Linked DNA regions of Macaca mulatta. The protein of the gene in region 3 purifies or fractionates together with the protein of the main gene of each other region. This does not show direct contact. Links are inferred from orthologs where the notes say so. Each region holds a gene or a part of one and is shown on either strand. Other genes may lie near its edges.

Evidence for each region.
Region 1: the proteins of ANAPC16 (region 3) and ANAPC1 purify together in Homo sapiens (co-immunoprecipitation; 5 studies listed by BioGRID and IntAct, with this or other methods). This does not show direct contact. The link is inferred for Macaca mulatta from reciprocal best matches to the Homo sapiens genes ANAPC16 and ANAPC1.
Region 2: the proteins of ANAPC16 (region 3) and CDC26 purify together in Homo sapiens (co-immunoprecipitation; 5 studies listed by BioGRID and IntAct, with this or other methods). This does not show direct contact. The link is inferred for Macaca mulatta from reciprocal best matches to the Homo sapiens genes ANAPC16 and CDC26.
Region 4: the proteins of ANAPC16 (region 3) and ANAPC7 purify together in Homo sapiens (affinity purification with mass spectrometry; 6 studies listed by BioGRID and IntAct, with this or other methods). This does not show direct contact. The link is inferred for Macaca mulatta from reciprocal best matches to the Homo sapiens genes ANAPC16 and ANAPC7.
Region 5: the proteins of ANAPC16 (region 3) and ANAPC13 purify together in Homo sapiens (affinity purification with mass spectrometry; 3 studies listed by BioGRID and IntAct, counting the BioPlex papers as one, with this or other methods). This does not show direct contact. The link is inferred for Macaca mulatta from reciprocal best matches to the Homo sapiens genes ANAPC16 and ANAPC13.
Region 6: the proteins of ANAPC16 (region 3) and CDC27 purify together in Homo sapiens (affinity purification with mass spectrometry; 10 studies listed by BioGRID and IntAct, with this or other methods). This does not show direct contact. The link is inferred for Macaca mulatta from reciprocal best matches to the Homo sapiens genes ANAPC16 and CDC27.
Region 7: the proteins of ANAPC16 (region 3) and ANAPC4 purify together in Homo sapiens (co-immunoprecipitation; 10 studies listed by BioGRID and IntAct, with this or other methods). This does not show direct contact. The link is inferred for Macaca mulatta from reciprocal best matches to the Homo sapiens genes ANAPC16 and ANAPC4.

Annotation. Positions count from the first base shown.
Region 1 is NC_133418.1:21,897,104-21,899,692, reverse strand, and holds part of ANAPC1 (anaphase-promoting complex subunit 1), read left to right. Parts: intron 1-1,820; coding exon 1,821-1,955; intron 1,956-2,589. UniProt on the Homo sapiens protein: Component of the anaphase promoting complex/cyclosome (APC/C), a cell cycle-regulated E3 ubiquitin ligase that controls progression through mitosis and the G1 phase of the cell cycle.
Region 2 is NC_133420.1:45,041,357-45,045,368, forward strand, and holds the start of CDC26 (anaphase-promoting complex subunit CDC26), read left to right. Parts: upstream 1-1,212; coding exon 1,213-1,293; intron 1,294-4,012. UniProt on the Homo sapiens protein: Component of the anaphase promoting complex/cyclosome (APC/C), a cell cycle-regulated E3 ubiquitin ligase that controls progression through mitosis and the G1 phase of the cell cycle.
Region 3 is NC_133414.1:77,394,571-77,398,070, reverse strand, and holds part of ANAPC16 (anaphase-promoting complex subunit 16), read left to right. Parts: intron 1-2,135; 5' UTR 2,136-2,162; coding exon 2,163-2,304; intron 2,305-3,500. UniProt on the Homo sapiens protein: Component of the anaphase promoting complex/cyclosome (APC/C), a cell cycle-regulated E3 ubiquitin ligase that controls progression through mitosis and the G1 phase of the cell cycle.
Region 4 is NC_133416.1:117,564,621-117,568,120, reverse strand, and holds part of ANAPC7 (anaphase-promoting complex subunit 7), read left to right. Parts: intron 1-1,979; coding exon 1,980-2,166; intron 2,167-2,985; coding exon 2,986-3,105; intron 3,106-3,500. UniProt on the Homo sapiens protein: Component of the anaphase promoting complex/cyclosome (APC/C), a cell cycle-regulated E3 ubiquitin ligase that controls progression through mitosis and the G1 phase of the cell cycle.
Region 5 is NC_133407.1:37,520,592-37,523,560, forward strand, and holds the end of ANAPC13 (anaphase-promoting complex subunit 13), read right to left. Parts: intron 1,124-2,969; coding exon 998-1,123; 3' UTR 501-997; downstream 1-500. UniProt on the Homo sapiens protein: Component of the anaphase promoting complex/cyclosome (APC/C), a cell cycle-regulated E3 ubiquitin ligase that controls progression through mitosis and the G1 phase of the cell cycle.
Region 6 is NC_133421.1:71,440,333-71,443,832, reverse strand, and holds part of CDC27 (cell division cycle protein 27 homolog), read left to right. Parts: intron 1-486; coding exon 487-641; intron 642-745; coding exon 746-957; intron 958-3,393; coding exon 3,394-3,500. UniProt on the Homo sapiens protein: Component of the anaphase promoting complex/cyclosome (APC/C), a cell cycle-regulated E3 ubiquitin ligase that controls progression through mitosis and the G1 phase of the cell cycle.
Region 7 is NC_133410.1:24,405,668-24,409,167, reverse strand, and holds part of ANAPC4 (anaphase-promoting complex subunit 4), read right to left. Parts: intron 1,847-3,500; coding exon 1,772-1,846; intron 1,632-1,771; coding exon 1,605-1,631; intron 1,511-1,604; coding exon 1,466-1,510; intron 395-1,465; coding exon 310-394; intron 1-309. UniProt on the Homo sapiens protein: Component of the anaphase promoting complex/cyclosome (APC/C), a cell cycle-regulated E3 ubiquitin ligase that controls progression through mitosis and the G1 phase of the cell cycle.

The DNA.
Region 1 (2,589 bases), on a different chromosome or scaffold from region 3:
TCACAGCAGACTTTCCCGATTTTAAAAATAATCCTATTTTAAATTCTTTCTCAGTATTTGTCACCATTTCACTGTCATTCCTTTGTTGACCCTTTTGGAAGTCATCCTTGCTCCTTTCCCTCCTTCCCTTCTCCCCTCCTCTGCCATGACTGACCCATTGCTGAAGCCTTCAATCCTCATCATAGATATTTCTTGAATTTGTCCACATTTTACTACTTCTGCCTAGAACAGAATGATTATTTTGTGCCTGGACCACTGTTATAGCCTCCTAAATAGCCTCCTTGCTTTTTCTCATCTCCATTCTAATCATCTCAAGTTAACTGACAGAACAGTCTTTTAAAGAATGAACTGATCTAACACTCCTGCTTAAAGCTTTTCAAAGACTCCTGATTCAGCTATGAAAGAAATCCCTACTGTGTGGCACCAGGACCTGTGTGACCTGCAAGGCACCTGTTTTCCTCAACAAAGCCTCTTTTACACCACTTGCTCCTCACACCACGCTGGCCTCTTCTACCTCCTCAAAAACACTGAGCTCCTTTTCACTGTGGGGCCATTGAATATGCTGTTTTCCCTCCCTAGAAGCTTTTCCTCTCATTCTTCACCTGTCCAACTCATATTTATCCTTGCAGCCTCAGTTTTAATGACCTTGCCTCCCAGGCCTTCCAAGACCACTGTACCTCAGGCAGCTTTCCTGCCATCTATTGCCTGCCCGCTCATGCTCTCAACTTTTTTTCTGCATCTAAATGCCTTTGTTTGCAAGTAACAGAAGACCTGACGTAAGCTGTCCTTAAACAGTGAGGACACAAATCTGCTTATGTTATTAGAAGTCCACAGGTAGGGCATGTAAAGGGTCATCTTATTCCATTGTCTTCAACTCCGTTTCTCTGAGGTTCCATCAGCTACATTCTGTGCCATGACTTTATCCTCAGTGCTTTTTTTGGATGGTAATAAAATGGCTATAACATGTTCACCTCTAGCTCAGCATGATGCCCAGAGGAAGAAGAAGAGTTGCTTCTAGGAGCTTTGTGATGAGAATGAGGGGATTTCTTTCCCTGGAGCCTCCAGCAAGCATGTCATTAAGTACCTCCTCAGGTTTCTGGCTCTGAGTTGCATCTCATGCACACCCTCAATCTGTCCCTGTGGCAGAGACTGTCTCTTATTGAAAAAATGGCCTGGGTCTGCCTGTCTCTGAACTAACACTGTATCAGGGGAATGGGATTGCCTTGATCACCCAAGACCGGTGATTCTCAAAGTGTGGTTCGTGGAGCAGCATGACCTGGGAACTTGTTAGAAATGGAGTTTTTCTGGCCCTACCGCAGACCTACTGAATCAGAAACTCTGTGCTCTGTGCTCTCTGCTCTGTGTGGGGAGTGGGGCCCACTCATCTGTGATTTAACAAGCCCTCCAGGGGATTGTGATACATGGGAAAGCTTGAGAACCGCTGGCCAAGACTAATAAGGATCTAGTTCTGGAGCTGAAGTCTGTCCCATCAAATATTCTAATACATGGTGGAGGGTGGGGTGTGAAGGGGTATTTTGGGGAGACAACCACAGTGACCACTGCACCTTTATAGCACTCTCACAGTTCATAATTATGCATTTGTTTGTGTCATTATTTGTGTAATATCTGTCTTCCCCAACAACACTCTAAACTCTACAATGACAGGGACTCAGTCTAGCTTGTCACCGTAGCCTCAGTACTCAGTACCAGCTGTAGAACCTGCTTATAAGTTCTTGATGAAAAAGTAATAGAAAGAAGATATTTCTTGTGCCTCTCAGTTCTGTCATCAGTTGGTTCAGTTCTATTTGTTTCTCTCACAGCCGGGGGTGATATGTGTGTGCACGCCTACCTCAGCGGGCAGCCCTTGGAGGAATCGCAGCTGAGCATGCTGGCCTGCTTCCTCGTCTACCACTCTGTGCCAGCTCCACGGCACCTGCCGCCTATAGGACTAGAAGGTAATTGCATATCTGAGTCCTCTCTTCGGTACCTCTGTTACCTACCCCTTTATGTTCTAGTTTCTTGGTAGGAAGAGTTTCTAATTAGTTATTGTCCCTAGTTTGACTTTCCTCTTCATTAATGTTGCAGTATCATTGCTAGGAACTGTTTTGGAGCAAAAAAGAAAAAAATTATCAACTTTTTACATGAATAACTTTCATTTTTATTCAGAAAAGGATGGATTCTTCTTCACAGAGCCCCAAACACTGGTCTAAAAATTTTTTTTAGTATATACTAAAATATATACAAAAAACATTTTTTTTGAGAAAGGCAGAGATTGTTCCATTTAATCATTTAAACTTGAAGTTTAATTACATTACTAGTTTTTTTGCTGTTTTGAAAGCCTCTGATAAAAGTTTACTATCTAGGGACTTCTAGTTATGGCCATGATGGAATTGCTTGTATTGGACTCACTTGCCCTCCAAAACAAGTATAAAAGCTAAAAAACCAAAAAACAAAAAACAAAAAACAAAAACATAAGAAAAGGGAAGTACAACAGGGAGAGCTTTCTGTTCACTCTAGCTTCTCCCCCAAAGGCATTTGCCAGTTCATAGCACAAGAAGTAGAGTCCCAGCAAAAGGCAGCAGTGCTGCA
Region 2 (4,012 bases), on a different chromosome or scaffold from region 3:
AGTGATCCTTCCATCTCAGCCTCCTGAGTAGCTAGGACTACAGGTACACACTACCAGCCTAGCTAATTTTTTTACTTTTTTGTAGAGACAGGGTCTTGCTATGTTGCCAAAGCTGGTCTTGAGCCTCCTTGTGCACTCTTCTCTCTGCCTGCCCTTCAGAAGTCAACTAAGATATCATTTTCTCCAGGAAGGCTTGCCTGACATCCTTGTCCACCCCACACTCAGCCCAGACTGGATTAGGTGCCTGTGTGATGCCAGTGCCAGTATCCTCATTAGGGTTCTCGTTATATGATATCACAGTTTTCTTTATTTTCCCCACAGATTATGACTGTACCTTTTAATTCTGTAGCTGGAGCACAAGAAGTGTTTGTTTAATGAATGACGTACACACATTTAGGATCTGTTTGGACGCTGAGGATAATCCTGTGAATTGGTGAGTTGGAGTCTTCATGAGATTTAGCAAACTGATTTTAGCATTCAGGAGTGATCACAAATCTCTGACAGTTCTCACGTAGAGTAGATTAAATTCACTGGTTTGTCCACTTTCCCCTCTAACTATACTGAGATGTGATAGTTTATTCTTTTAGCTAGAGTATTTCTTTGAATGTGACTAGAACATGAGATTAAAGTGATAGTTTGCTATTTTAAATTCTTACTGAAAGAGTTTTTGATTTTACAGAGCTGTAGATCTCCATAATGTAATAAAAATGTAATAATCATATACCTAAAGACTTTAGAAGTTGGCTGGGTATAGTAGCTCTTGCCTATAATGCCAGTACTTTGGGAAAATGAGGAGGGAGGAACACTTGAGCCCAAGAGTTTGAGACCAGCCTGGGCATCAGAGAGAGATCCCATTTCTACAAAAAACACAAAAATTAGCCAGATATGGTGGTGTACACCTGTAGTCCCAGCTACTCTAGAGGCTGAGGCAGTAAGATTGCTTGAGCCCAGGAAGTTGAGGCTGTAGTGAGCTAAGGTCATGCTACTGTGCTCCAGCCTGGGCAAAGAGCAAGATCCCATCTCTTAAAAAGACTTTAGAAGTCTGTGTGAATTCAAATAAAGTTTTAATACTTCCATTCACTTTAGTACACAGGCTTGCAAACTGATTTTATGTTTTGTATCTGAGACTTTATTACCTTCAGTTTTTCCTCCTCTCTTTCATTTTTATCAGCTAATAGTTCACTGGGTTTGGCCCTTAGTGTTGACTTCAGTATGCTGAGACGAAAACCAACACGCCTAGAGCTAAAGCTTGATGACATTGAAGAGTTTGAGAGCATTCGAAAGGACCTGGAGGTATGAATACAACTTTGTGTTTTTTTGAGATGGAGTCTCGCTGTGTCACACAGGCTGGAGTATAGTGGCATGATCCTTGGCTCACTGCAACCTCTGCCTCAGCCTCCCAAGTAGCTGGGACTATAGGTACATGCCAGCATGCCCGGGTCATTTTTGTGTTTTTAGTAGAGACGGGATTTTGCCATGTTGGGGCCAGGCTGGTCTCCAACTCCTGACCTCAAGTGATCCATCCGCCTCAGCCTCCCAAAGTGCTGGGATTACACATGTGACCCACTGCACCCAGCCAGTGATTGATTGCAGAAATCATGTCTGTTTGCATCACCATTTCCTACCATCTAGCTCATGGTAGGAGCCCCATATGTATTTTTAAGTGTGGCCTTGCTACATGGTATTAGATGTCCATTAATAAGACTTAAATTATTCAGTGGTCTACAGAATAAATTCCAAATTCCCTAGCATGGCATATGAGGTCCTTTGTGAGCTGGTCCTTGCTTATCTCTCCACTTTCACTGCTGGGTTATCTTTAATCTCAATGCCTATACACAAGTGTTCCCTTTGCCAGAAAAGTCCTTTATTTTTCTTTGCCAGGCTAACTCTTACTTCTTCCAGCCCCCAGCTGGGTTAGGCTCAACCTCATCCTCCTGTGCTAACCTCTCTCATAAGCACTGTTAGTCTCTGTTGTAATTGTCTGTTTGCTTTTGTTTTCCCTCACTGGGCCATAAGCTCCTTGAAGTCAGGGATTAGTATATTTCTGTCTGCATCTGTTCCCTGCAATACCAGGCCCAAAGGAGGGCTCAATACAAGTCTATTTTCATTTGCTGTCCTAGCAGATATCTTGTACTATATGGCAGAGGACAGTACATTTTGCATGTATTTACCAACAGCTTTATTATGGATTGTATATGCTTCATATTAAGACTAATAACTTAGATTTCTTCCCCCTGCTTCATCCCAAGACACTTTAGTGTTCTCGAAGCATCATAATTTCTGCTTTTAAAAAACTCATATATTATTAAGGATGAGCTTTAAAGTATGGCTTAAACTTCAGTTGTTACAAATCTCATAAAATGCTAGCATGCCGAACTTTGACTCTACAGAGTCAGCTCACTATTGAGTTAGTCTTTTCACCAAAGGCAGTTATCTAGTGGGTTTTGCCCTGTTTTAGAGTAACTTAGGAAGCAGGGACAGTCATGCCCTAAAGTGAAACCAGTAGAAAACTGGCCTGTTTCATTTATTACCAACATGAGTTTGATTATCTACTGTGACTCTAGCTTCTGAAACAGCAGTTGCTCAAAGTGGGAACCCTTTTAAGTGATTTCATTCCACTTGGATATTCTCAGAATGATAGAGTTGTTTGCCTTTTAGAACTTGTTTTCACAAAGATATTTAGGTAGAACTTTCTAACATCACTTACTAGTAATCAGGAAGGTCATTTGCCACATAAAAGGCAATACCTTATTTTATTCACTGTAATACTTTGTGAGTGTTGGCATTTATTTTATTTTTTATTTTTATTTTTGAGACAGGGTCTTGCTCTGTCGCCCTGCTGGTGTACAGTGGCATGATCACCACTCACTGCAGCCTCTACCTGCCAGGCTCCAGTGATCCTACCACGTCCGGCCCCCTGAATAACTGGGAATACAGGCATGTGCCACTATGCCTGGCTAATTTTTAAATTTTTTGTGGGCCGGGTGTGGTGGCTCACGCCTGTAATCCCAGCACTTTGGGAGGCCGAGGCAGGCGGATCACGAGGTCAAGAGACCATCCTAGCTAACATGTTGAAACCCCATCTCTACTAAAAATACAAACATTAGCTGGGTGTGGTGGCATGCACCTGTAGTCCCAACTACTTGGGAAGCCGAGGGCAGGAGAATCGCTTGAACCTGGGAGGTGGAGGTTGCAGTGAGCCGAGATGGCGCCACTGCACTCCAGCCTGGTGACAGACCGAGACTTGGTCTGAAGAAAAAAAAAAAATTTGTGGGGACAGATGGAGTCTCACTATGTTGCCCAGGCTAGTGTCAAACTCCTGGGCTCAAGCAGTCCTCCCAAAGCAGTGGGATTTACAGGCATGAGCCACTGCGGTCAGCCCGATGCTTGGCATTTAAATGCCCACAGTCCAGCAGCAAGTGGTGAAGAATGGTGGTAATTCCAGTGATTTGAGTAGCTGAGCCATTCTATTATTATTAAGGAATTTTGGATAAAACATCATTTCACTCTCTTAGAGAAAGTTATCATCTGTTGTCCTTACAGTCAGGTAGTGGCAGTTACGGGATAAGTGTTTCTTTTTGAAAATGATCAAACTGAGACATACTTTGTGGATTCTGCAGTCACATGTGACTTAAGAACCAAACCTTTTATCTGAAAACAAAATGAAGCCACAAAACCCAGACCTTTTGATAAGATAGCATAAAACCTTCTCATGTTACTTTTAATCTCATGGGATCAGTTAGGCTATAGATTTTTGGTGGTTATTTCTTTACCAGTCAATTTATTTTTCTGTCTATTCTCTAGAATAATAAATTTGTTGAAATACCCTTTGCTCCCCCTTGTCTGCTCTTACATCTTTCCAGTTGTAGCTTCCTGTTGTACCACCACACCCCAACTCCTTACCTCGTCTCTTTGGCAGTGTTGACTTCCCTCTGTCATAGGTCATAGCCCGGATCACCCTATAATCGTCTCTTTGGCTGTTTACCTATTAGACTGTGACATCCTGGAGGGC
Region 3 (3,500 bases):
CTTTAAAAAATACTGTATACCGGCCGGGCGCGGTGGCTCAAGCCTGTAATCCCAGCACTTTGGGAGGCCGAGACAGGTGGATCACGAGGTCAGGAGATTGAGACCATCCTGGCTAACACGGTGAAACCCCGTCTCTACTAAAAATATAACAAATTAGCCGGGCGAGGTGGCGGCGCCTGTAGTCCCAGCTACTCTGGAGGCTGAGGCAGGAGAATGGCGTAAACCCGGGAGGCGGAGCTTGCAGTGAGCTGAGATCGCGCCACCGCACTCCAGCCTGGGCGACAGAGCGAGACTCCGTCTCAAAAAAAAAAAAAAAAAAAAAAATACTGTGTACACTTTTTAGAGAGCTGAGCGCAGTGAGACTTTGGGAAGCCAAGGTGGGAGGATCACTTGAGACCAGGAGTTAAAGACCAGACTGACTGGGCACGATGGTTCATGCCTGTAATCCCAGCACTTTGGGAAGCCGAGGCGGGCAGATTACGAGGTCAAGAGATGGAGACCATCCTAGCCAACATGGTGAAACCCCGTCTCAACTAAAAATACAAAAATTAGCTGGGCTTGGTGGCGGCGCCTGTAGTCTCAGCTACTCAGGAGGCTGAGGCAGGAGAATCGCTTGAACCTGGGAGGCAGAGGTTGCAGTGAGCAGAGATCGCGCCATTGCACTCCAGCCTGCCGACAGGTGAGACTCCGTAAATAAATACATATGTACATACATATATACACACCAGACTGGGCAACATAGCAAGACCTCATCTCTGTTGTAAAAAAAAAAAAATGGAAAGAGGCCAGATGCAGTGGCTTATGTCCATAATCCCAGCACTTTGGGAGGCCAGGCAGGTAGATCACCTGAGGTTAGGAGTTCGAGACCAGCATGGCCAATGTGGTGAAGCCCCGTGTCTGCTAAAACTACAAAAATTAGCTGGGCATGGTGGCTCATGCCTGTAATTCCAGCTACTTGGGAGGCTGAGACAGGAGAATCGCTTGAACCTAGGAGGTGGAGGTTGCAGTGAGCTGCTATCGTGCCACTTTAGTATGGGTGACAAGAGCAAGACTGTGTCTCAAAAAAAAATAAAATACCATATACACTTTTTAGAATTTTTGTTAAAGTTGTGTAAGCTTCTGTGGCAAAGAGAGTGTTTGTTTTGAACTTTAGTAAGGTGTCATGTATTCAGGACAGTTTTCTCTATAACATTTGCATTTTTTGATATGCAATAAGGTTAAACACTCACAGGTGCTCTGTTCATAATAGGCAATGATTTCCAAGATTGTTTCCTGAACTTTTTGTTCCGGTTTTGGGACGCCACCAAGTGATAAGTTTGGGTATTACATTTGAATGAAAAGGTTAATTTTTTTTGAGAGAGAGTCCTGTTCTGTCACCCAGGCTCACTGCAACCTCTGCCTCCCGGGTTCAAGCAATTCTCTTGCATCAGCCTCCCGAGTAGCTGGGATGAGAGGCGCCCACCACCACGCCTGGCTAATTTTTTTTGTATTTTTAGTAGAGACAGAGTTTTGTCATGTTGGCCAGGTTGGTCTTGAACTCCTGACCTCAGGTGATCTATCTGCCTCCACCTCCCAAAGTGCTGGGACTACAAGCGTGAGCCACCGTGCCTGGCCAAAAGTTAATTTTTAATGAGAAGGCCAATAGGTATTTCCTAACTAGTTCCCCTTCCCTGGGAACAGAACACAGTGTTACTCTGGAATTTTATTTGGAAAATATTATAATTTATTTATGTGGCTTGATCAGGATGTATCCAAGACAAACTGTCCTGTGAAGTGTGATGCTTTTATCCTCATATAACTTATTTCCTCAGTCAAATTTCTGCCTTGGCACTGCCATATCACCCCTTCATAACTCATGAATCACCCACAGTCAATCTCAGTTGACATAAACAGTTTGCTAATGGTAGGAATTCATGTTTTAAGTAGATATACTATTCTTAAGCTTATTTTCAATTCAAAACCTGACTGATATTTTGGCCTGAGACATCAATAAAATATCATGAAAGTAGAGAGGATAGAAAAACGGGGAGCTAACTCTTTATAAAACTGCATGCTGACCCTTACGGCAGCTCGAATGAAATGTTGTCACTCTCACTTCCATAAACTTGCCAATTGCTGTTTTTCTTTCTCTGTAGTGAAGTAAGAACTCTGCTAGAGAGGAAATGGCTGCTTCATCATCATCCTCTTCAGCTGGTGGGGTCAGTGGAAGTTCTGTCACTGGATCTGGTTTCAGTGTCTCAGACCTTGCCCCACCACGGAAAGCCCTTTTCACCTACCCCAAAGGAGCTGGAGAGATGTTAGAAGGTGATCTCATGCTGCTTTCTGAATAATTGGATTCAGACCTGCAATGAATATTAATTGTGAAGAAGCTATTAAGTGGATTAAAGATGAGTTTGCCCTGATTTCAGCTCTACATTTCATCTCTTGTCCCCATCTCAAAATAATATATTTAAAAACAGTCTTGCTCCAGAATCAGAATGTTGGAGCTGAAAAGGACTTTGGAAATCAAGGAAGTCATCTAAAGTTATTTAGATCCAGAAAAGTTAAGTGATTTGACCAGGTTAAAGGCAGAGGTAGGGCTGGGCACCGTGGCTTATCCATGTTATTCCAGCACTTTGGGAGGCCAAGGCAGGCGGATCACTTGAGGCCAGGAGTTCGAGACCAGCCTGGCCAACATGGTGAAACCCCATCTCTACTAAAAATACAAAAATTAGCCGAGCATGGTGGTAGGCGCCTGTAATCCCAGCTACTGGAAAGGCTGAGACAGGAGAATCACTTGAACAGTAGAAGTTGCCATGTGCCGAGATCATGCTACTGCACTCCAACCTGGGCAACAAAATGAGATTCTGTCTCAAAAAAACAGAGTTGGCCGGGCACAGTGGCTCACGCCTGTAATCCCAGCACTTTGGGAGGCCGAGGCGGGCGGATCACGAGGTCAGGAGATCAAGACCATCCTGGCTAACATGGTGAAACCCCGTCTCTACTAAAAAATACGAAAAAAAAATTAGCTGGGCGTGGTGGCGGGCGCCTGTAGTCCCAGCTACTCGGGAGGCTGAGGCAGGAAAATGGCGTGAACCCGGAAGGCAGAGCATGCAGTGAGTCAAGACCGAGCCACTGCACTCCAGCCTGGGTGACAGAGCGAGACTCTGTCTCAAAAAAAAAAAAAAAAAAAAAAAAAAACCAGAGTCAGCACTGAGTCCAGGAATTCTCTTGACCTCCTACTCCAGTTTGCTTTATCCTGGCACCTGTCTACCTCCCATGGTAGTAGGTTTGATGTGTCTTTTTATAGTATGATTAATCTACAGATAGATTCACCCTGTCAGAAAGGTTCTAAGAGGGAATAAAAGCTAATACAGTGCCCTTTTATGTGAACATGACTCCTGACCCACTGCAGCATGATGCTGTGTGGTTTTTCTAGCACCAGAGCCAGATTTGCATCAAATCATTCACCATCTTGTTCAGCATCATTGGCTAACTGACTAGCCAAGATCAGGGTACAG
Region 4 (3,500 bases), on a different chromosome or scaffold from region 3:
AATTTCTTGTGGAATAGGCAGTAGACACTGTTAAATTCAAACAGTGGAGAAGGGGCATGCAGATCAGTATCTTTCCCTGAGTCTTGAACCTCACCCCACCATTTCCTTTCTCCAGAGGCAGTAACTATTTTTTCCTGTGTCATTACAGAGGTAACTTATGCATGTGTAAGTAGACATGTATGTTATATGAGTATCAGAATGCCTTCTGTGGGTGTAATAATACTTTTGTATCCAGGCATCAGATGGTTATTTCTCACTACATACATAGAATCACAGAGTTTGAAGAGAACTTAAGTCATCTAGACTATACTTTTTTGTTGTGTTGTTTTTTTTGGGGGGGAGACTGAGTCTCGCTCTGTCACCAAGGCTGGAGTGCGGTGGCGTGATCTCGGCTCACTGCAGCTTCCGCCTCCTGGGTTCAAGCAGTTTTCCCTCAGCCTTCCAAGTAGCTGGGTTTACAGGTGCCCACCACCACGCCTGGCTGATTTTCGTATTTTTAGTAGAGACAGGGTTTCAACATGCTGGCCAGGCTGGTCAAACTCCTGACCTCGGTGATCCTCCCACCTTAGCCTCCCAAAGTGCTGGGATTACAGGCATGAGCCACCGCTCCCGGCCGTTTTTTGTTTGTTTGTTTGTTTATTTATGAGACAGAGCCTCTCTCTGTCACCCAGGCTGGAGTGCAGTGGCGGGATCTTGGCTAACTGCAAGCTCTGCCTCCCAGGTTCAAGTGATTCTCCGGCCTCAGCATCTAAGTAGCTAGGATTATAGGCGTAAGCCATAGTGCATGGCCACAATAATGCAATTCTGTGGGTTTTAGAGTATTTACAAAATTGTATGGTCATCACCATGATCTAATTCCAGAAAGTTTTCATTACCTCAACGAAAGGAAACCCTGTGGCCTGGGATTACAGGCGTAAGCCACTGCGCGCGGCCTTTTTTTTTTTTTTTCTAAAGACAGAGTTTCACTCTTGTCGCCCAGGCTGGAGTGCAGTGGCGCAATCTCGGCTCATAGCAACCTCCGCCTCCCGGGTTCAAGCGATTCTCCTATCTCAACCTCCCGAGTAGCTGGGATTACAGGCATGCGCCACCATGCCCAGCTAATTTTGTATTTTTAGTGGAGACGGTTTCACCATGTTGGTTAGGCTAGTCTTGAACTCCTGACCTCAGGTGATCCGCCTGCCTTGGCCTCCCAAAGTGCTGGGATTACAGGCGTGAGCCACTACGCCCAGCCCCCCTTTCTCCTTTTATAGTGGCATTTTCTTTAGTTTTTTTGTTTTTGTTTTGTTTTGTTTTGTTTTGTTTTGTTTTGAGATGGGGTCTCACTCGGTCGCCAGGCTGGAGTGCGAGTGCGATGGTGCAATCTCAGCTCACTGTAACTGGAATCCCAGCACTTTGGAAGACCGACGCAGGTAGATTACTTGAGGTCAGGAATTTGAGACCAGCCTGGCCAACATAGCGAAACCCTGTGTCTACTTAAAAAAAAAACAAAAATTAGCTGGGCGTGGTGGCACGTGCCTGTAATCTCAGCTACTCTGGAGGCTGAGGAAGGAGAATCGCTTGAACCTGGGAGGTGGAGGTTGCAGTGAGCTGAGATCGCGCCACTGCACTCCAGCCTGGATGATAGAGCGAGAATCCATTTCAAAAAAAAAAAAAAGTTGGGGGAGCTTGGATTGAAAGGGAGGAAAAGATGTATTACATTTTCTCTATCTCCTACTGGATTTGATTCATAGGTATCATTGCTTTAATGTTAAATAAAGGAAGATTATATTGAGCAATAGATATATTTATCATATTAGCATAGAGTTCAGCTTTCAACTTTCATGTTTCTTACTTTAGGGACTAGCACTCAGGGTACATTGACTCTTTTGTAAGCTGTCATTATACAAGGCTTTGCGCTAGGCTTATGTAGACACTTAACAGTGTTCCTTCTAAAATTTCAAAATAACCTATGTAGGGGATATACTTTCTTTGTTTTCTAGTGAGTTATTCTCCCCATCTCAGAAGTACCAGCTTTTGGTGTATCATGCAGATTCTCTCTTTCATGATAAGGAATATCGGAATGCTGTGAGTAAGTATACCATGGCTTTACAGCAGAAGAAAGCGCTAAGTAAAACTTCAAAAGTGAGACCTTCAACTGGAAATTCTGCATCTACTCCACAAAGTCAGGTAATCGAAGATAGAATTGTGATTTTTTTTTTTTTTTTTTGAGAAAGACTCCAAAAATTTAGAACAGGGCTCCCCAGGCCCCAGTGCCTGGTCTGTTAGGAACCAGGCTGCACAGCAGGAGGTGGGTGGAGGGCTAGTGAATATTACTACCTGAGCTCCGCCTCCTGTCAGATCAGCTGTAGCATTAGATTCTCACAGGAACACAAACCCTATTGTGAACTACACTTGCTAGGATCTAGGTTGTGTGTTCCTTATCATAATCTGACTAATGCCTGATGATCTGAGGTGGAATGGTTTCATCCTGAAACCACCCCCTCACTCCCCATCTGTGGAAAAATTGTCTTTCATGAAACTGGTCCCTGGTGTCAAAAAGGTTGGGGACCGCTGATTTAGATGATAGCTGATTCGTTGTAAAAGATGAGGCCAGGCACAGTGGCTCACACCTGTAATCCAAGCACTTCGAGAGGCTAACGTGGGAGGACTTGAGGTCAGGAGTTTGAGACTAGCCTCGGCAACATAGTGAGACTCCTGTCTTTACACAAGTGGGCATGGTGGCACACACCTGTAGTCCTAGCTACTGAGGAGGCCAAGGTGGGAGGATTGCTTGAGACTAGGAGTTCAAGACTGCAGTAAATTATGTTGGCATCACTGCATTGCAGGACTCCAGCCTGGCAACTGGGCTCTGCAGCCTGGGCAACAGAGCGAGACCCTGTCTCAAAAAAAGAATTACTGGGTCATATGATAACTGTGTTTAACGTTTTGAGGTACTTTCATATTGTTGGAATAATGTTTCAAAGAGATATTTTCATTGTCTTTTAGTGTCTTCCATCTGAAATTGAAGTGAAATACAAAATGGCTGAATGTTACACAATGCTAAAACAAGATAAAGATGCCATTGCTATACTTGATGGGATCCCTTCAAGACAAAGAACTCCCAAAGTAAGTTGAATGTTTGTGTGTTTTTCTCCTCAGCCCTCCTAACCTTGCTCCCTCCCTCCATGTTTTCTCATGCATTAAGGAGTCCATCTGAACATTTTACCCATGATTCTAATTCTCATTTTCTTCCTCTTCATGGAGTGGGGGACCCTGAAAATTCAGCTGTTGAAAATGATAACTGGAGAATACTACACATGCTTATTCTTTGGTTTTTTTTTTTTTTTGAGACGGAGTCTCGCTCTGTCGCCCAGGCTGGAGTGCAGTGGCCAGATCTCAGCTCACTGCAAGCTCCACCTCCCGGGTTCACGCCATTCTCCTGCCTCAGCCTCCCAAGTAGCTGGGACTACAGGCGCCCGCCACCTTGCCCGGCTAGTTTTTTGTACTTTTTAGTAGAGACG
Region 5 (2,969 bases), on a different chromosome or scaffold from region 3:
TTTGTGATTGAAAATCTAAAATAAGCTAATTTGTTTTTTCACGTACCTCTTCCTCCTAAAAGCTAAGTAAACAAAAAGACCCAGCATAAAAAGGATGAGAAGAGATTTTAGTTATTCAGTGTTTTCAGAGTTTCAACAAGGGATACAGATACAGGCAGCCAGGGCTGCTTCTTACAGCGTTTACAATCTGGGGAGAGCACACGAAAGACACTGTTTAACAGGCAAATAATTCCAGGAAATATACACAAATGTGTTTTTCAAAATACAGGTTCTTATACAAATGTGTAACTAAATACTGATTCCATAGTGGGGTGGTTATAACTGAAAGGGCTTTGAGAAAATAGGAAATGCCACTACTGAATAAAACTAATGGTCCACCTAGCCAAAGATCCTTTCCAGCAGCACAAAAGGAAGTTGTAGGGAGAACAGAGGTAACTGTCAGGTATCTTTCTAATCTGTAAATTTATCCAAAGTTTGAAAATACCATGAAGAATCTTAGGAATGCCAGTAACCAGGGAATGGAATATTTGCATATCACAACACCTACAGGCTAAATACACTCCGAATGCTTCTCAATGTGGGGAAGTATGAGAAGTTAGTAATTCTCCCAGTATCTGGCTTCCTTTTTCCTTTGCCTTTCCCTCTCATACGTTCAATCCCCTGTGTTACAGGACACACATGAGTAGTTGGAAGGTGTTAAACTTTGACAGTAAAGCAAAATCAGAAGTAAAGGCAAATGTTTAACCAGTCTTGTTCAAATACAAGCTACTCAATGAAGAGTTTTAGGTTTAAAGAGCCAAATATTCACCATTACTGAGAAATCTCAGTTTCTCATTCTGGTGAACATTTTCACATCGCACTTTGCTACCACAAACTAAACGGGTATACATTTTTGAGTGCTGATTTATTACTCAAAGATTTGATTTAGGAGACTGAAACAAAACATGCTTTATCTGTGTGCTTTTAGAAAATCCATATACAAGAAAGGAGCCAAGTGTCAGTTTCCAATGGGGGGAACATTCTCATGGAGGTACTGTAAGGCTAAGTCTGTCCACTTCATTTCTTGTTCTTTGACAGATTCTGTGGTGCCACCATTGTCTTGTTCAGGTTCAGGAAGCTCATTCTGAAAAGGTACAATAGAAATTCAGAACAGTAATATATTCTGTATTTTCTTGGAACTCAAGAACACTTAGAATTAAAGCTTGTGAGTTCCTAGGAACAGGCAACATAACTGATATGTGTATTCTAAAAAAGCTAAAATCATACACGTGAGGAAACGATCAGAAGTATCACTCAAACATGGCCTGGGCCTTCTTCAATAGGGAGTGATGGGCATTTTGACTCTGACATTTGTGAAGGAGGCACCGTGGCAGAAGGGTTAAGGGCAGAGGCTTTTGGAAGCCAACTAGGATCCAAGACCACAACTCTCCCATTTGCTGGGTTACTTGGGCAAGGTATGCAAACCCTTGGGGCCTTTGTTTCCTCCTTGGCAAATGGGAGAAAAAAAGAGCCATCACCTCACAAGACTACTGTAAGGATCAGGTGAGGTTAGATCAAGTGCTGAGCACTGTGTGGGGTATCTGGTGCTCAAGGAATATTTGCTATTATTATTAGCGGTTAGGAACACTGAGATGAGCCAATCCTAAATCTTCTTTTGGGGGAGCGTGCTTTAAAAGAATACTAGTTTGCTGGCATATTCCTTAGACACAAGAAATGTATCCAAAAAATGACCTTGGACCAAACATGTCTTTTTTTTTTTTTTTTTTTTTTTTGAGATGGAGTTTCGCTTTTGTTGCCCAGGCTGGAGTGCAATGGCGTGATCTCGGCTCACCACAACCTCTGTCTCCTGGGTTCACGTGATTCTCCTGCCTCAGCCTCCCAAGTAGCTGGGATTACAGGCATGCACCACCACTCCCAGCTAATTTTGTTATTTTTTTTTTTTTTTTTAGTAGAGATGGGGTTTCTCCATGTTGGTCAGGCTGCTCTCGAACTCTTGACTTCAGGTGATCCACCCGCCTCGGCCTCCCAAAGTGCTGGGATTACAGGCGCAAGCCACTGCGCCTGGCCCAACATGTCTATATTATAATAAAAATGGAGGTAGGGCAGGAAACACTGAAAATGTAACTAGTAGATGATACCTCCCCCTAGTGGTGGAGCAGGGCAACAAAAACCCCAACAAATGACCAATTCACACCCTACCAGCAATTTTCATAAAACGGTAAGTCATGGGCCACACTTAGTATAGGATCTGGGATCATTTACTTGTATTTCAAATTTAAATGTATTACTACTGAAACTCTGCTTTGTACCAGAGTTCACAGATACCAACATATTTCTTTTCGATTATCTTAATTTATGTTTTGTTTTACGCTTAGCAAACTGTTATGCAATATCCAGACTTAAAATTTTCCACTGGATTCTAATTTGTAGTATGTGAATATGTTTTCCCCTCTAAAATTATGCTCAATATATATTAAATGATATTTACTTATCTATATTTGAATCACATACATCTTGTTCTACAAGACAGATTCAAACATACTTGAACAGATTGAAAAGAGCTATCATTTATTGTAAAGCAATCAGTCCTAATAATTACTTATAGATGACAAAGAATAAATAGTATCCTTAGTTAATGAATTATTTAATTCAGAAGCAGACAACTTTGCTTAATTTCATCCTATCTGTGGTATGCTTTCTAAAATAATGTGTCTTTTGTTTGGTATCTATCGTCCCGTTCAATACATGCCAACACATCAAATCGCATATATGCCTGGAAAACAAAAACAAAAGTGTCATAAACCCAGCCATCCATTATGGTGTACTGTAAAATGCCCTTAGTTCTTTGCAGCTACTCTTATCAAAAGGTGAAACTGATTTCCCCAATCTTGGATTTGGATTGGCCCTGGGAGTTATTTTGGCCAACAGAATGAAGCTGTCATGCCAGTGGGCTAGTTCTTGGCCTAAGC
Region 6 (3,500 bases), on a different chromosome or scaffold from region 3:
TTTCTGAACAGTATAGGGAGAGAATATCTCAGTACATTTGGCCTAGGATACATAAAGGACCATTTTTCAGCATTGTTGCATCTATGTATATATAGAAGGGCTTCAACCTTTACTGTAAAGTATGATGTAAAGTATGATGGGTTTTAACTCTTCAACCTCATCTCCTACTTTGAGAAAAATGAGACCTAGTTATTTTCAGCTTTAAAGCAAACACAGAAATCTGCATTTTTCTGTGATTTGTTATATTTAAAATTAGTGTTCTTGTAGTTTATTTTCTAAATTTACAGCTTTGTCTTACTGGTACACTTTTATGATACATTGATAGATGGGCTTTTAGGGGGTAAATTTGATTAGCAGAAGTGGACAGGAGAATTTAAAATTTTGGATAAGGCCTATTTCCTGTTTCCACTAACTTATGCATACTTGAAAAAAATGTAATCCTCACTTCCTCGGAGACAAACTTTTTTTTTTTTTTTGTCTTCACAGGTGAAAAGCCAGATCCTGACCAAACATTTAAATTCACATCTTTACAGAACTTTAGCAACTGTCTGCCCAACTCTTGCACAACACAAGTACCTAATCATAGTTTATCTCACAGACAGCCTGAGACAGTTCTTACGGAAACACCCCAGGACACAATTGTAAGTGTCTTATATTCTAGTGTTCAAAATATTATGAAACTACAAAGAATGATCTGAACTAAATAATATATTGTGAATGACTTGGTAGAAATTTTCTGTTTCAGGAATTAAACAGATTGAATTTAGAATCTTCCAATTCAAAGTACTCCTTGAATACAGATTCCTCAGTGTCTTATATTGATTCAGCTGTAATTTCACCTGATACTGTCCCACTGGGAACAGGAACTTCCATATTATCTAAACAGGTTCAAAATAAACCAAAAACTGGTCGAAGTTTATTAGGAGGACCAGCAGCTCTTAGCCCATTAACCCCAAGGTAAGTCAAACAAGATACTTTCAAATGTGCTATAGTACTAAATGATCTTATAATAACTCATATTGTTTGTAATGCAGATTATTACAATGGCAACTTCTAAATCAGTATGGGAACAGGGGCATTCTGTTTTCAGAAAATGAAGTAAAAAACAGCACATGATGATGTTGACAGGCGCGGTGGCTCACGCCTGTAATCCCAGCACTTTGGGAGGCCAAGGCAGGCAGATCACCTGAGGTCAGGAGTTCGAGACCAGCCTGGCCAACATGGTGAAACCCTGTCTCTACTAAAAATATAAAAATTAGCTGGGCGTGGTGGTGGGCGCCTGTAATCCCAGCTACTCGGGAGGCTGAGACAGGAGAATTGCTTGAACCCAGGAGGCGGAGGTTGCAGTGAGCCGAGATGGAGCCACTACACTCCAGCCTGGGTAACAGAGCAAGACTCTGACTCAAAAAAAATTGATACTAAGTATTGGATTGGCCGGGCGCGGTGGCTCACACCTGTAATCCCAGCACTTTGGGAGACCGAGGTGGGCGGATCACGAGGTCAGGAGATCAAGACCATCCTGGCCAACATGGCGAAACCCCATCTCTACTAAAAATACAAAAAATTAGTTGGGCATGGTGGCATGCTTCTATAGATCCAGCTACTCGGGAGGCTGAGGCAAGAGAATCACTTGAACCCAGGAGGCAGAGGTTGCAGTGAGCTGAGATGGCGCCACTGCACTCCAGCCTAGGAGACAGGACAAGGCTCCGTCTCAAAAAAAAAATTGGAGAAAAATGTAAAACTCTTAAATTAGGTAGTAAACACATTAAGAAATACTATCTATGGCTGTGCATTATTGGATAGCAGTGAGCCTCATGAAATGTTACAATCAGAGCACCATTGGTTGCTATTAAAATGTTCTTTTCCAAAACATGATGGAAATTTGACACCTACCGTTTTTTGTTTGAGACAGCATCTCACTCTGTCACCCAGGTTAGAGTGCAATGGCACAATCATAGCTCACTGCAGCCTCAAATTCCTGGGCTCAAGCGATCCTCCCGCCTCAGACTCCTGAGTAGCTAGGACTGCAGGCACATGCCAACACACCTGGCTAATTTTTTAAGTTTTTTTGTAGAGATGGGGTCTTGCTGTGTTGCTCAAGCTGATCTGGAACTCCTGACCTCTAGTGATCCTCCTGCCATGGCCTCCCAAAGTGCTAGGATTACAATGAGCCACTGAACCTAGCTGTCACACCTATTAATATAAAATATTTTATCGGCCGGGCGCGGTGGCTCAAGCCTGTAATCCCAGCACTTTGGGAGGCCGAGGCGGGTGGATCACGAGGTCAGGAGATCGAGACTATCCTGGCTAACATGGTGAAACCCCGTCTCTACTAAAAATACAAAAAACTAGCCGGGCGTGGTGGCGGGCGCCTGTAGTCTCAGCTACTTGGGAGGCTGAGGCGGGAGAATGGCGTGAACCCGGGAGGCGGAGCTTGCAGTGAGCCGAGATCACGCCACTGCACTCCAGCCTGGGAGACACAGGGAGACTCCGCCTCAAAAAAAAAAAAAAAATATTTTATCAAAATTAATAGTAGTATATGTATGTATAAATACAGGAACTCAGCCCAGAGGATACATATCCAAAAGTATCAAAATGAAAAATGATGTGCTAGAACGGGTTGGGCTTGGTGGCTCATGCCTGTAATCCCAGCACTTTGGGAGGCTGAGGTGAGCAGATCACTTGAGACCAGGAGCTCAAGACCAGTCTGGCCCACATGGTAAAACCCTATCTCTACTAAAATTACAAAAATTAGCCAGGTATGGTGACAGATACGTGTAATCCCAGGTAGTTGGGAGGCTGAGGCACAAGAATCGTTTGAACCCAGCAGATGGAGGTTACAGTGAGCTGAGATCATGCCACTGCACTCCAGCCTGGGCAACAGAGCAAGACTCTGTCTCAAAAAAAAAAAAAAAAAAATATATATATATATATATACACTAGAAGAAATTCTATGAATCGGGTCCTGAGGCCAGGGAACTACTAAAATAGTGTGACCATGAGATTACCACTCTGGAGAGTTATAGTTATCTAATGGTCTCTAGAGACATTTTCTCTAGTTGTGTCTAAATCCCATAAATTCCAAGAATTTGAAGTAATCTGATCATTTGGATCTTAGATTTATAAAGCTACTCTTCTTTATTTCTAATAAATCTCCTGAGATCAGTAATTGTTGCTCACTGTAGTTCCTTGTTTGATAGCTTTTTTTAGTTTTAGTTATGGTGGGTGGAATAGTCTATATTCACAGCTTATTTTTAATCTGCCCCTCAGATCCTCACTGTCCCTAAGACTGATTTGCCATTCTCTTCCTTTTAGACCTTCTAATTTAAGTATACTGCTGCTTTATATATGCCTTGATGACTTTTTGACACCTTGATTTCAACCTCTTCTCAGTTTTGGGATTTTGCCATTAGAAACCCCAAGTCCTGGAGATGGATCCTATTTACAAAACTACACTAATACACCTTCTGTAATTGACGTGCCATCCACCGGAGCCCCTT
Region 7 (3,500 bases), on a different chromosome or scaffold from region 3:
TCCAATCACAAATTGAAGCTCTTTTACATCTCACACTAGAAAAACATTAAATCATAATCAAGTGTATCATACTAATCTTTCTGTTAAAGAAACAAACAAACAAACAAACTTGACTAATTCCACAAATAGCTCCCAATCTTTATAGACATATCACAATTATTTTATCTTAGTAAGAAAATCATTCTCTGAACATTTAATTCTAAAAACCGAGACTGAAAAAAAAACCTGGTGTTTTATTCTTTTTCCATAAGTACTTAGTATATTCTAAGAGAAACAATTTAGAAAGAGAAAATTTTAAAGAAATCTTACCCCCGTGACTCGAGCAATTTTAAACATTCCATAAGCATAAAGCTCAATAAATCCAGAGCTTCCTCCAAGGACAAGAATATTAAGCCTAATTAAAAATAATGCAACAAGCTGAGAACGAATCAACAACACAGATGATTACATTCTTAAACCAAGATATAAATTATTACTGCTTTCATATAATCTACATGCTAAAGCTCCCCTGCAGAGGGAAGTGAAATATCAAATCCACTAACACTCAATATTCAATCGTATCAGGTTTATTCCTTTTTTCAAAGAACATAAATTTCCTCTAGCCTAAAAAAAATCAGCTTACGGTAAAATAAGAATACGTTATTTTAATAACAACTATATTTATGCACCATCAATAACAAAACAATCCTTTTACCAACTAATACGAAGTGCCATCAGTTTTATCATGGTTATGATGCTAAATATATTAAACGGGCTTAAAAAACATGAATACTTAAATTTTAGAAACTCTAGTACTTATATCCTTTTATTTAACATATGTGCATATTATTATTAAAACTTGATAAAACGAAAGGCCACACAATAAAAACAATAATAGATATTAAAGTCTATATGTCGTTTGAAGGTATTAATGTCAACAATGAGGCCAGGTGTTGTGGCTCATGCCTGTAATCCCAATGCTTTGGGAGGCCAAGGTGGGTGGATCTTCTGAGGTCAGGAGTCTGAGACCAGCCTGGCCAACATGGTGAAACCCCGCCTCTACTAACAATACAAAAATTAGGCCGGGCACAGTGGCTCACGCCTATAATCCCAGCACTTTTGGAGGCCAAGACAGGTGGATCACAAGTTCGAGAGATCAAGACCATCCTGGCCAACATGGTGAAACCCTGTCCCTACTAAAAATATAAAAATTAGAAAGGCCTGGGGGCGGGCGCCTGTAGTCCCAGCTACTCGGGAGGGTGAAGCAGAAGAATCACTTGAACCAGGAAGGCGGAGGTTGCAGTAAGCCGAGATCGCGCCACTGCACTCCAGCCTGGGTGACAGAGACTCCATCTCAAACAAAAACAAAAACAAAAAAACAATGAAATAAAATGGCAAATAAAGGATTTGCTCTTAAAGCTTCTGAAAACTGCCTCAAATATGAAATAACTTTAAGAAATTAGACTTATTTATCCATAAGACTTACCTGACGTCTCCCAAGAGCTTAATAATTTCATCAGAATTTTCTTCACTAAAATATACAAATAAATTGGGTCATCTTTCAATTCTATCTTTCAAATAACAACAGATTATCTTACTTGAAAACAAGAAAAGGCATATCTTACCTAAATATTTTTGAGGTGTTGCTATAGCTAGAAGGAAACAGAGATTAAGGTAAAAAATACTCTCAGCAAAAATACGTATTTTAAAATGCATGAGAAAATTGTCGGTGTTAAAAGCAGAAGAAAGAGAAATCTGCAAGATTAATTTCAAAGAAACCAGTGATACATACTTTTTTGGCAGTGTAGGTAGTTTAGGTAAGAGGAGATTTGATTCATCCTCAGCGTTATAAAATGATGTGAGAACACTAAAAAGGAAAAAATGAAATTATAAAAACACCAAAGATTTTACTTCTCTTACCATTAAAAATGCTAATTTTTTAAAAAGATACCCAGTTTTACAACATTATCAAGTAAACAGATGCCACAAATACTATACAGTTATAGTCAGTTTAACAGTCCCAAACGAGAAATTGAAAAGTAGGAATTTCTTTGTTATTTTAGGGGAATAAAAAACATCAGCCTGCACACTTTAGAGAAATGATAATAAACATTTTTCTTAGCATATCAAATGCATTCATACATACTCAGATACTGAGAATTTATGATTTCTTAACTCTTATTTAAGAACTCACACTAAACATATGACTACTAAGAGTAATTTTAAAGAACACTGCAATTACCCTATCTTTTATTTATGAGACAGGGTCTCACCCAGGCTGGACTGCAGTGATGTGATCATGGTTCACTGCAGCCTCCACCTCCTGAGCTAAAGCCATCGTCCTGCCCCAGCCTCCTGAGTAGCTGGGACTACAGGTGCAAACCACCACACCCAGCTAATATTTTTTATTTTTTTGTAGACATGGGGGGTCTCACTATGTTGCCCAGACTGGTCTAAAACTCCTGGTCTCAGGCAATCCTCCTGCCTCAGCCTCTCAAAGTGCTAGGATTACAGGCATGAACCACTGTGCATGGCCTACCGTATGATTTAATTATTGAATCTATGACTTATATACACTTGTGGATTTAAGACTCCAACAGGTGTATGAGATTACACCATGCCTTTTGAAATAGTCTCATTTTCCCCCTTTTCCTTCCCAATTCTAACTCCAAATAAGGTTGGAAATAAATGAGTGAGCAAGTAAAAAAGTGGTGATTTAGCAAGTATTTTTTCCTACTTTAACAAAAAGGAGCTGTCTTGAGAGACCCTGGAATCTCCATATAACTTTTCTAAACTGTCAGTAGGAAGTATGTTGGGAATACACATAGCAGATAACTGGGCTGGAATAGGACTTCCATGGTATGCTCTGACCCTCTAACCTTCTACAGAGTCACATAACCATTTGTAATCCTTCATGATCTGATGATGGATTTGTCACTCTGGTTTATCCGCAGTGAATTTCAAACCCCAGGTCAAACCCTTGTTATCCAATTCTTTCAGGCTTCCCTTAGGAAAGCTGGCAATTAATATTCAGGATTTACAAATTCATTTGATACTAACTTAGTATAACTTAATTAGAAAGGAAAAGTTAATACAAAGAAAATTACCATATTGCCCCAAACAAGAAAAACAATTTTTGTTTTCAGCATTAGCCAAAAGCACTAATTCCTCCGGCCTTCTTCACTGTAACCCTGGTGTATTACTTGACTACACAGACTAAGGCAGAATTATTTTTATGAAACAAGGAAACTATCAGGACCATGGACAAAGAAAAAAACCTGTCCAGCATTAGAACAGAAGGCTCAACTTAGCACTTTCCATATTCTAAGAATATGGAGACAAAAAAAAAGTTTACCGAGACAAAAAAAAAGTTCAGATGATATAAATCATGAAATGGAAATTAATATATGTATTAATTAACATAACTTTAAAATTACTGATTGGCAAACTGAGGTTGTTTTCCATTTCACCATTTTATGGAGCTTTGTTTTTTGTCTCAGTAACTATTTTTGGAGTAGGAA